2 linked regions of the Neodiprion lecontei genome follow. The protein of the gene in region 2 interacts with the protein of the main gene of each other region in a biochemical or structural test. Links are inferred from orthologs where the notes say so. Each region holds a gene or a part of one and is shown on either strand. Other genes may lie near its edges.

Region 1 (7,128 bases), on a different chromosome or scaffold from region 2:
TTTCATAATGTAGTTGGTAAATTGTCTGCATAAAATGAAGGCATGTTTAAACTATAATTATGCAGAGGCCTTTTTATCTCTTCGGTACATATAAATTCATAGATAATTTATACTACCAAAATTAGAAAGAAAAAATTGCGATCATGATTATTTTAAAAAATCATTCATTTTTCGGAGTTGTCCACAAGTTTTTTTTTTACTGTCAATTCTATCGAGACACAGAATTTCAATAGACTGCCTTATTTGCATTCATATAAACATTGTGAATTTTTTCAACTCTTATATTGATGAGATGGATAAAAAATTAACACACAACCTTAGAAACTCATCATGGAAAACTGAACTTGTCTCATTGTTTCTAGCTGCTTTAATCGGCGCATGTGCTAGGTGTTCGGCCTCTTCAGTTCCTTTGAGAGCAGCTTGCTGCTCCTTCTTATAAACCGGTCTAACATAGTATGGCGGATAAACGCTGTAGTCATTTTTCTTGATGTTGATTTCGCTCCATCTATAATAAGTAAAAATGGTAAACTGGAGTTGGAAATATTTAAAAACATTTGAAGTGTATTAGAATTCTTTGAATAAAGTGAATCTAAAAAATGATATTTTTAATTCCTCATGTTCTCCAGCTTTTTAAAAACGTACACTTCATTTTTTTCTAAATAATGTTTTACAATCAGTTAAATTCATTGATACAAAACGACAAAATTTGATTTGCATTCCGATAATACCACACGATCAAAAAAATAATAGAATGCGCTTGATAACTGGTCCTTGAATGTTATAAGACATCGAAGAATATTTATGAAAAAGATTTTCAATTCCCATTTCAAGAACAAGACTGCTCCTTCTAAGCCAGCATTAAAGTTCTAATATTTATTTGAATAATGTGAAGCCAAGTCTGAAAATCAAAATTTTGTAAAATACCTTAAACCTCCAGTACGTTTGAAAAAGAGAAATATGAGGATAAAACTGAACTGCTTTTTTTTATTTCCAAAAAGTTTAACAGATTTGTGTGCTAACTTTGGTTACTAGCTTCAGCTTCATATATCGAGGAGAATTTCTTTCGTCAACATTGAATTACAACTCTTCAAAATAAATATCAAACTTTTTTCTCACATCCCGGTGCTTTTGAGGTTATGCGATTAATGACAAGAATGAAGATGATTCTGTAGACTTATAAGACTTATAGTAAAAATGGACATGGAAAAAATCCATAGAATATATACAACCGAAAAATTATACCCAAATTGACAAGACGCACCTGTTTATTGATAATAAAGACCGAACGGTAGCAGCCGCGAATTGTCTGCTGTGAAACATTTTAAGTGCGGCCATTTTCGTTGGCTTACTGTTGGTACACTTATTCACAATAATTCTGAAACTGCTAATCTTTTGGACAAGTTGGTTATATTGGTAATGCAGAATGAACCCGCAGCAACACCGCCGGTAAAGTGTAAACTGTCAACCTAGCTACCATAGCATATGATATATATTCGTCATGTTAGGTGTCCACAGCGCCTTGATAGTGGCCGGGAGCCAAAACTTTGAAAAGGGCTGAAACTCGATTCAAATTTGATTGAAACGTGAGATAAATAATTGACGTGTTCCAACATGGAAAATACTATTATTTATGAATTCAGCCTTACAATCCGGTAAAATACAATTACTTATTCGTATTTTACGAGATGCGTCCATAATTATAGTACGTCAATCATTTATTTTACGATTCAATCGAATTTGAATCAAAGTATTAGCCCTTTTCAAAGTTTTGTGTCGCGGCCACCTAACATGACATAATGACAAATTCTGTTTTCCAGCCTCTCTAGATTGCCAACGTAACAGACTTGTCCGAAAAATTAGCCATCTCGGAATTACTGTGGGCAAGTGTACGGGGTGTCTCAGCCAATGGGAGGCCAACTGGTGTTTGATCGTACGATTGGTATGAACCAGCACAACTTACGGTATAGAAAAGTAAGTAGTAGTGGTTTCGAGGAACCAGCCTGGGAGCAATCGCGTTGACGAGAAAAAGAAGGAAGAAAAGAAAGGAGGAAAACAGAGGAGTGAAATGAAAATAAACGATACGTGTTAACAAATAAAACGTTGAAATCGTTATTCGTTGATAAAATAGATAGTGGTAGAGAGGGAGTGAGAGAGAGAGGAAAAAAAACGACACGTTAAATAACCCCCCAAATGATTCGTACATTGAAAACAACGTTCGCCGTTAGATTGATAAGTTCGTGTGAAAAGGTCTCCTAAACCCTTTGTATCGAAGGAGAGCCTTGACAAGTGGTGGTGTTGGATTAATTTCGTATCTGTGTTTATATCGAAGATACGGCGGAGAAACGAATTTTCCGCACCCAAACGGGACGTTAAAAACACCACATTATCAAAATGGCAGAGAATCAAGGAAACTCTTCGCATCAAATAAACCAAGGTTCGTCCTTCCTTCGCTCGTTCATTGACTCGTTATACGTGTTGCCCATCGCTTTCTTCATCTTCACCGCATCTATTACCACGGAAAATTGTCTTCCAAATCCGTTCTCTACTCGTTCTATGCCCCGTCCTCGTGTCGTTGCAAATGCAGGTAGTCGTCAGTCACATCGTTAGTCGTCTGTTTCGACTAACCCGTAACAATCGGTCTAACCGATATTTCATTCAACCCAGTTGTTATTTATCGTCTGCAGAAACGTCGCTTGCTCGTTAACCGCCTTCGTTTGCATGTTTTATACGATTTACGACGAATCTACCTACGTTGTTGCCTACGGATTGTCTTATCAGCGGGATCCGCGATCCCCAACAAACATGCACCTATCCCCTGCCTTCTTACCTCTCTTTCTCGCATCCGTCTGTCTTTGACGCGTTTTGACATTTCCCCGCAATCGAAAAAGTAGCGTATTAATGAACACGCACATTTTATAATTCAACTTTGTGACGTCTTTAATGATATACGGTAATAGTCAGTGTTGTTGTTATTATCGTCGTTAGTTTAACATAGACAAATGTCTGCGGTTAGCAACGTTAACCACACTGAGTTCTACCTCAGACATAACGTCCGTGAATAATTTTTATTAACAACAATTGTTTTCTTAAGTCTATCTAACATTTCAGGAACCGGCAGAAACTTCTTTCCACGTTTGGATTTTCTGTCCAATAGCGATATTCAGAATGAAGTGTCAGGTACCTGATTAGATTTCACTCCATCAATAATTAATTCAGCTGATGGATCAATGGATCAAGTACCTGATTTATCCATAACAAGAGATGAGAGGAAAATTGAAAAAATGTAGCAAGTTATTGCGATGTAAAATTTAATACTCGAATGTGGTGTGAATGTGGTGGATCAGTAACGGCATATGACAATATATTTTGAAATCTCCCTACTTACGTACAAGACTTTCATCATTTGATGTTAATTGAAGGAGTGCGTTTCTCAGTTTTAGGATTTTTAAAATCTTTATCTTATCTTTGGCATTCTTTGTGTTAATAACTGGCAGAGTTTGTATTCGTGTCTCTTATCAACTTGGGTTCTTGTTTCATTCATCCTTTGAATTGATTTGTTATTGTCATTAAGCATATTTTCGCATTACCTTAATTTATTTGTTTGTTGAATTCAACAGAGAAAAGACAGGCGTTGAAGATGAATCTGGGATCTGGTAGCCTAACCTTTTCAAATTCCACAAACTCGACCCACTCCAATTCCACCAGTATGTCATCATGCCCACCATTGCCGTAAGTAAACAACGGTCTCACAAAACAATAACACTTTTTCCTTCTTCAATTTAATGTGGAATAATGTGTAAAAATATTCCTTACCAACTCCAAGAGCTGTTCTTCCGAATCATATTCTGCCAAGCAAATTGTATATTCTAAATAAATATTAGTACAATCGTGTATGGAGAGAATAAATTTTTGGTTCGGGAACATTTACAAGGAATTTCGAGGTATTAGGTTTAACGAACGTAGTAATGTATAAGTACCCCAATTTTACGATCAACCGGATTTCCACCAACAACGAAATTCTTTAGAAAGGCATGAGAAACTGAGTTCTAAATGACATTACTATGAATAATAGGTCGTCTCGCCCTAGCTTGCCCTTACCTCTGCCAAAGTTGCCGATTAGGCCTCGGCCAGCGGCGCAACAAGAATTTCTCCCAGATAAAGCAAGGTAATAAGCTTGAATGCGAGATGATTATATATTATACTGAATTAAGTAACGACGATGTTCATACTGCAGTAATTCTGTGCATATGAGGTATTATTCCAGGGAGAAATTACGGATGTGTCAATCAATGCAGAGCACGGGAAAACTTCAGTTATCTCCTGACACGATATATGATTTTACCAGCGAGGATTTACAAGACTTGGGAGAGATCGGGCGCGGAGGATTTGGCACTGTAAATAAGATGATACATAGGATAAGCAATACCGTCATGGCTGTGAAGGTGAGAAGAATAATTTCCCTTTGACCAGAGGTTTCGTAATTATGTAAAAACAATTTTCGTCACGAATCATAATTAATTAAATAATAAAAGTATTTCTACAAAAATTTTCGTAAATACTCTTCAACGTAGAACATTCGAGTCTTATTAATGATGATATATATTTATGTGTTCCACCATAACTTACCTTGATTTTCAATGAAAAATCCTTTCCAATAATAGTTCAGACCAAAACATATTGCGCAAACTCATCACGATTCCTTATGAATGCAACTTTTTTATTTTCCATTATATAGAGGATTCGCTCAACAGTGGATGAAAGAGAACAGAAACAACTTTTAATGGATTTGGAAGTTGTTATGAAATCCAACGAGTGTCCCTGCATCGTGCAATTTTATGGAGCTTTATTTAAAGAGGTGAATAATTTTTCGTTTCACATATTCACATGTAGAATTTTTGCTAATAGAAAATTTCGCAACCATCAAGTAGAAAAAAAACGGTATTCTAGCCCTTCATCCAACATTTTGAGTTGGTCGAGTTGTATAATACCTGCATCTTGAAATTATATCTTTGACCTCATTTTGTTGTAACATTTGTAACCAAAGTGATGCTACAACGGTTCCTCTTCTTTTCTTGCACAGGGAGACTGTTGGATTTGTATGGAACTGATGGACACGTCTTTAGACAAATTCTACAAATTTATATATGAGAGATTAAACGAGAGGATACCTGAAAGTATACTGGGAAAAATCACAGTAGCTACAGTTAAGGCATTAAATTATCTTAAGGAGAAGCTCAAAATTATTCACCGTGATGTTAAGCCAAGCAACATACTTCTCGACCGTCGCGGTAACATCAAGCTGTGCGATTTTGGCATTTCTGGACAACTGGTCGATTCAATTGCCCGAACACGAGACGCCGGATGCAGGCCTTATATGGCTGTGAGTAATAACTAAAGAAATACTAACTTTGATCCAAGTACAAATGTAAGTTCAAAGCATTTTCGCAAACGATCGATTTTACCGTAATTGTAATCAGCAGAGATATTAATCTAAAATCAATGGAAGTACTAGACTAAAAAAAGTGTGAAATTTCATTGAGTTTATTATCTACTTTTTTCAATTTTGCCACGTAATGAGAAAGAAAAATTTTACAGCCCGAAAGGATAGATCCCCAACGAGCAAGAGGATATGACGTCAGGAGTGACGTATGGTCTTTGGGCATAACGCTGATGGAAGTAGCGACTGGGTATTTTCCATATCCAAAATGGAATTCGGTATTCGAACAACTATATCAGGTGGTACAAGGAGACCCGCCGCGTTTGTCACCCAACGAGAATGGAAATCGTTTCACAATGGATTTTGTCAATTTCGTAAACACATGGTAATGACTGAAACGCGAGTTCTTCAATCGAATTAAGAATTAGCTGAATCTTTGCGATCATGAAGGATGTTGGGTTGGAGATAGATTCTAAATTGTTTTACCGTTTTTGCTTGCAGTTTGATCAAGGAAGAGACGCAGCGTCCAAAATACAACAAACTTTTGGAACATCCGTTCATAAGGAAAGGTGAAGAAGCGAAAATAGACGTGGCCGCGTACGTCAGCGGAGTGTTGGACAGTATGGCTAACAATGGAGTGACGCCGTTCACCACAAATCAGCCTTAAGAAAAAAAAATTGTATGAAAAGAAATGCATTCCATGGACCTCCTCCGTAAAAGTAACGTAGAAGATGTACTATGTTCCCCTTGGAATATAATTTTATTACGGAAAGGCCCCTCCTGATAAAGGACTTTTGAAACAAGGATACTCCGTAGCGAGTAGGAGGTAATGAACGACATTCAATTGTATCTAATATGTAGAGAAAGAAAAAAAAAGAGGAAAACAATCGCGGAGATAATTCATATAATAGAAAATAATTTCCTACGAATCTTGAGAGAAACAAACAGAAAAATGAACTGTCGCAAAACACAGCTGTGGCGTACCTCTTACATAAAGTAAAAATAAACATATATTAGATATCATCTCCAGAACGATCCGTAGTTCTTGTAATATTACGAATTTCAATCACCGAAAAAGAAGACGAGAAAAACGTAAAAAAAAACGGAGAGTAAAAACTAAATAGTAAAAAAAAAAGAAATACACGAAAAGAAAATTGTTGTGAATTGTATATATTGTTTAATGTTTTAATTCCATGTTTTATATATGCATATGACTTGGAAATAGTTCGCCAAAACAGTACAAAGTACCTAATTGCTCGTTCTGGCGATTTTATTAGGAACAAGCTTATACCAACGTTAAAATACTGTACTGTAAGAATAATAAATAATGAATGATGATAATAATAATAATTGATTCAGAACTACACACGAGTTGAATAATTACATGGATAATACATTCCTAAATTTCGAAAAGTACTATCACCTTCACACGTCACGCACTAGAAACTGGAATATTTCTATATTAAATATTAGCGAACTAAGTACCAGTTTTCGAACACGAACTTGTTTTTAATTTCAGTTTCTAACCTAAAACACCATCCACACAATCGGATTTTGATTTTTAAATGAAACATTAAAATCCTATATGAGCTTTCTAAACATTTCAAAAATGTACCTGCAAACCACAGATATTTATCGCTAGGTTTTTGTTTTCAAAAATCAAATCGATACTTCTCATTTACTGTGTAAAA
Region 2 (4,880 bases):
AGCAGATAATTATAAAAATAATAAGTTTCTATTTTTCTTGCAATTGAACAAAAATTGAAGCAAACACATATGTTGAAAACCAAAAAAAATATATGACCACACCTACGCTAAGGTATTTCTATATATTACGAACTCAATAAAGTTCAGGTGCATGTAACGATCGCAATTGTCTTTTGGTAACGCTAATGAAAAATTGGAACTAATTATTGTAGATTTCTCTACTTTATACACATATAAGAATTGGAAATTATTTTCGATGCACACAGCCCAGGGCCGATACGCACAGGGAAAACCTAGAAACCAGGGTACTTGGGGGAATCCTGGATTCGAAAAAGCGTATCAATCCTGAAAGACCCGAATTAGTTCTGTGCGGAGTTTTAAATGTTTTCTCAACTTTATGGTTTTAGCTAAATATAGAAAACACAAAAGTTTTACGTGTTATTGTATTTTAGTCGACTATAACCATATATAAGTCTTTGCGCTGCTCTCATCCACAAGGTCCTATGAACACCTTACGAGCGAAAAAAAAATGTTGAATTTTAACATATTTCAGTGAAAAGAGGCCGTCGAGCCCCCCAATTTCTCATTTAGATGAAGTACAATGTATTTCTAAGTATGCTTTATTCACGAAATTATAACGAACATTTACACAGCTATAGAAGCTGAATGAAAGTTTCAAATTCGATATACAAAAAAAAAAAGAAACATTTTTAGTGTAATAAGGTAGAGTTTCTTATGCTCGTAAGCTAAATTATTCGAAAGGCTGATGAGAAGTGTTAATACCCCATTTACATACCCTTTATGCAAACGCAAGAGAAGAACCATACCTTTTATATTGTTATTAATTTTTTAAACGCAGCGATAGGTCTCCCGATCCCCCTTAGCAATGATCTGCTTAATCTAATCAAGGGCTCTGTAGAAACAATAATACATCTAGGTACATATTCAGTAATTATTATCCCTTTACAGAAAAAGTTTGTCTTTGTTCTTACTGCGTTGATTATGAATCAAGGTGCTAGAACACTGAGTTATACAATTTTTACACTAAAAAAAAAACATGAAAATGTAAAGAAAAAAGAAAAAAACGAGAATTAACAATACGATAGTACTTCACGTGCGAGCATTGCACCGACGCGACGTTCAGTCTATAATTATTATAAATAACAGATATTTTATCTATGGAAAAATAACTGTACAATCTTTGTTTACTGAGTTTGTTTGATTATTTTTTTTTCCTTTTTTTTTTCTACCAGGCAATGGTTTCCAGCAGTATTAAAATATGAAAATGTGAAATTTTGTGTAAATCATTGAATATGATATACATATACATGGGTATTGTATATCGATAGATAGAATTCGTTGGTGCAAGGATATATGGAAAGTACTGTACTTGCTAAAAGAAAAAAAAAAAAAAAAATAGAGATTGTTTAAATAAAATTCGTATCTTACAGAAAAAAAGAAATTTTTGTTTCTCTTACGCGATATTTCCTACACCTATACGCGTAACATATTATCTCTGTTCTTTACAAGCTTTTAAAATTGTGTACTTCAGACTTGCTGAATAACCATCACCTAAGTGATTATCATTGACCAGGTTAGATACTCCCATAGACTTATACCGATAGTCTGCGCGGTCTGTTCACTGATTGTGAGCTGAATTCGTAATTAGAAAGAGATAGCAATAGCTGGAGCCGGATATCTCACTCTAATCTGATTGCGAAACTTGGCGGGGGGGAGGGTATAAATTCGTACGCATGTACCTCCCTCCCCCCCCCCCCCCCCGCCGATCTTTCTATCATGCAACAGAGAGATCCGGTTCCAGCTGAGCTCTCTCTCTGTCTAATTACGGCTTCAGCTCGGTGAACAGTGGTGAACAGATCGCGCAGTCAATCCTCTATAAGTGTATGGATATTCCTAAATACGTAAATATCCGTTAACGAAATAAGTTACACGGATATTTCTAAAAGACTTTTGAGTGACAGATATTAGCATTTAATTACCCATCAATTTATGAACGAAATATAGATAACTTGGTGACAATACTCAATCATCTTCGGAAATCTCAGGTACGGCAAATGTGTTTATAACAGATTTGCAGTAATTTGAAATCAGGAAAACAGTTATTAAACGCCTTTGAAATCGTGATCTGAAATCATTCTAAATGATTCGAAATTATGTAAAATTATAAGGTCGAATTTAATAATCTCATTCGTAATGTCAGTGCCGGATTTATAGTTGTGGAAACCCTAGGGCAACAAAGAAGTGGGAGGCCCCTAATTATTTTTCAAACAAGATGGGAAAATTTCATTTTTATAGTGTAGCAATAATTTATTGTGAGACATATGCAATGATGTCAACTAACACATGTCGATATTGTAAAATACAAAAAATGAGCCACATTAAATTACATCGTTAGGCGAATGGAATTTTGCGAGCTTTTTTCGACGCAAAGTCATCAATGATATCGGTAAAATCCCGGAGAAAATCACTTTCAATGCTGAGTACGGATAACTTTGACAAACGGCTTTGTCTCATAGTAGTTCGTAACCTACTTTTTATAATTTTCATTTTGGAAAATGAGCGCTCTCCAGTGCAGTTCGACACCATCAACACAAGATACATTCTCAATGTAATTTCAATGTTTGGGAATGTAGCTCTAAATTTTTTTTTTTGTCAGAAGAGTAATTTTACATACCATTTGCTAGGAAATTTTACCAAAAATTGTGTCGGCCCTGGTTGCCCCCCTCTAAACCCGGAACTGCGTAATTTTATTGCTATTTTGTAACTTGAAACCGTCGGTCATGCGGTAAACCGTAACTTGCGGGAAAAACGAAATTTCTATACTGATCTTTCCCTATAGAGTCGTTGCAAAAGCATAAATGATTCTTTTTTCATATCCCTGGTGATAATGATTTTTACGATTTTCTACAAATTTTTGTGGAAAGTTGGGACATTGCGTACAAAATTGTGTATAAGCATACTTTCTCATAAAAATTTGTAGATTTTTGTGAAAATTTGAATTTTTTCAGTAAAAAATCGATACGCCACCACGATTTCTAAAGAAAATTGACAATTTTTCACGAAAAACTATGCATATTTACAATTTTGTACGAAATAATACGGAATGGCCCAATTCCTGCCAAAAAAATCGTAGTAGTAATAATTTTCACCAGGGAAGTTTCGCTATGTTTCCGCTGTGAAATTGAACTTTGTGCACGATCGGTAGAAAATATTTAAAACTGCATTTTACAACTTTATTGTAAATAATTGGTGGGGCGGTTGGGTCATAAATCTCGTAAAATCAGACTAACAGTAAATCAGGTTGAAAGTTTCTGGAATCATTTGGCATCGCTTTTACGCCTTGACGTTCGAGCGAATTGAAACCCCTGACTTTTGAACTGTATGATCCGCGAATGTTGTCGAGGCGCATGAGTCATTAATTTTATTAATTTACCCAACACTTTTGTCAGAGCTTTCGCATGTCGTTCATTACAAAATCTACAACCCGTTTGAGGTTTTTTCAAGAATTTCCTTCCATCGAGTTTAAAGGATATGATGACTCAATAACTCCATTTTAATTATTGTTTTATTTATGTATTTACTGTATATATGATATTTCCACTAATTAACAAAACGTACTTCGCAGCATATTTTGGCTACATTGCGTCCACTTGCCACTAGATAGGATTCAGAGATCGTCTTATACCATCTTTTATTTTCGTACGTGGAAACAATTATGCATATGTATACGTGACAAACACGTATCCTTCGTTTCAACAAATAGCATGAAATTCGTCGTTAAATTACAATGCCTTGGGGAAAATCCGCACAATTCATATCCGACAAGTTCTGTTCAACGGAATAATAGAAACCCATTTTGCGCAGTGTTTGTTCCGTACGTTGATCCAAGAACCGAGTCTTGATTTCGCGGTAGCGACTCGGGTAATTGTCGCCACTCATCATCGAAGTCGGAATTTTCAGTGCCGAAGAGAATATGTCGGTGTCGCAGTGTGTTTACTTTGCGTGCGAGAATGCAGCATAGTCGGGCGGTCGACTCCATCGCTCTTGGGGAGTAAGTAGGGGAACAAAAGCGGTCAGACGATAGACAGTCGGCGTTCGAGTTTATTTCGTCTGTCGTTGACGTGGGAAAAAGTGGCAAAAAGATGTCGTTTGAAGAGGGATTAATGATGTGTTTCGACGGTACAACAGGCGCCGAGAGTTTAGACTGGGATGATTCTGACGACAGGTGGGTTCCGTCAAACAGCCGAGTAATAATTCACGCGACTATTAGACCTTCATTATAAATAGAACTGGAAAAATGTAGCAATTCACACATCGAGAATTTCTGTGTTTACTTAGCAGCATACTTGATGGTCAACTAGCCTCTTGCGCTGAGTACGTCGCGCTTAGCTTATCATCTACCTTCGTATTCAGCTGATGTCGCCTAACCTAACAGTACTTGCAGTAAATTCATCTCTCGAAGTATTTTTTGACGGATAAACTCCGCCAAATATTCAAACTACACTTTACTTGTGTGCTTATGTTTACACGGTACGTTTCAAGTACGATTGTCACTTGAAAAGTACGCCAAGTTCAAACAAACAATTGAACTATGGTGTAACAGCGTCGCAAGTCGGCGGGTAATGATAATGCTGTTTTATATTTTTACACCGTGTTGATATGTGAATATCTATGTTGTATCGTCGGATTTTTCAAGATTAAAATAACAGGAATTGAGTGTTTTGATTTGATATAAAATGTTTTAATTTACGAGTTTTAAGCCTATAGACTGAAACAAGTTTTGGACATATGACTGAAAAAATTGGAAATTTTATTTTGCTGAACTTGTAGCAAAAATTCTTGTAGTCTGTTTCGTTATG

What was found. The genes of interacting proteins can lie anywhere in the genome.
Region 1: the proteins of mitogen-activated protein kinase kinase kinase 4 (region 2) and dual specificity mitogen-activated protein kinase kinase 4 form a complex in vitro, tested with the Homo sapiens proteins (2 studies listed by BioGRID, with this or other methods). The link is inferred for Neodiprion lecontei from reciprocal best matches to the Homo sapiens genes MAP3K4 and MAP2K4.

What each region holds. Positions count from the first base shown.
Region 1 is NC_060264.1:28,643,419-28,650,546, reverse strand, and holds dual specificity mitogen-activated protein kinase kinase 4, read left to right. Parts: upstream 1-1,963; 5' UTR 1,964-2,391; coding exon 2,392-2,434; intron 2,435-2,925; exon of another isoform or gene 2,926-2,940; coding exon of another isoform or gene 2,941-2,950; intron 2,951-3,108; coding exon 3,109-3,177; intron 3,178-3,617; coding exon 3,618-3,729; intron 3,730-4,072; coding exon 4,073-4,165; intron 4,166-4,234; coding exon 4,235-4,442; intron 4,443-4,735; coding exon 4,736-4,855; intron 4,856-5,080; coding exon 5,081-5,380; intron 5,381-5,595; coding exon 5,596-5,822; intron 5,823-5,938; coding exon 5,939-6,104; 3' UTR 6,105-6,601; downstream 6,602-7,128. Other genes in the region: 28S ribosomal protein S7, mitochondrial, read right to left, coding at 1-25, 317-505, 1,262-1,335. UniProt on the Homo sapiens protein: Dual specificity protein kinase which acts as an essential component of the MAP kinase signal transduction pathway. Essential component of the stress-activated protein kinase/c-Jun N-terminal kinase (SAP/JNK) signaling pathway.
Region 2 is NC_060262.1:27,712,379-27,717,258, reverse strand, and holds the start of mitogen-activated protein kinase kinase kinase 4, read left to right. Parts: upstream 1-1,849; 5' UTR 1,850-4,163; coding exon 4,164-4,246; intron 4,247-4,868; exon of another isoform or gene 4,869-4,880. UniProt on the Homo sapiens protein: Component of a protein kinase signal transduction cascade. Activates the CSBP2, P38 and JNK MAPK pathways, but not the ERK pathway. Specifically phosphorylates and activates MAP2K4 and MAP2K6.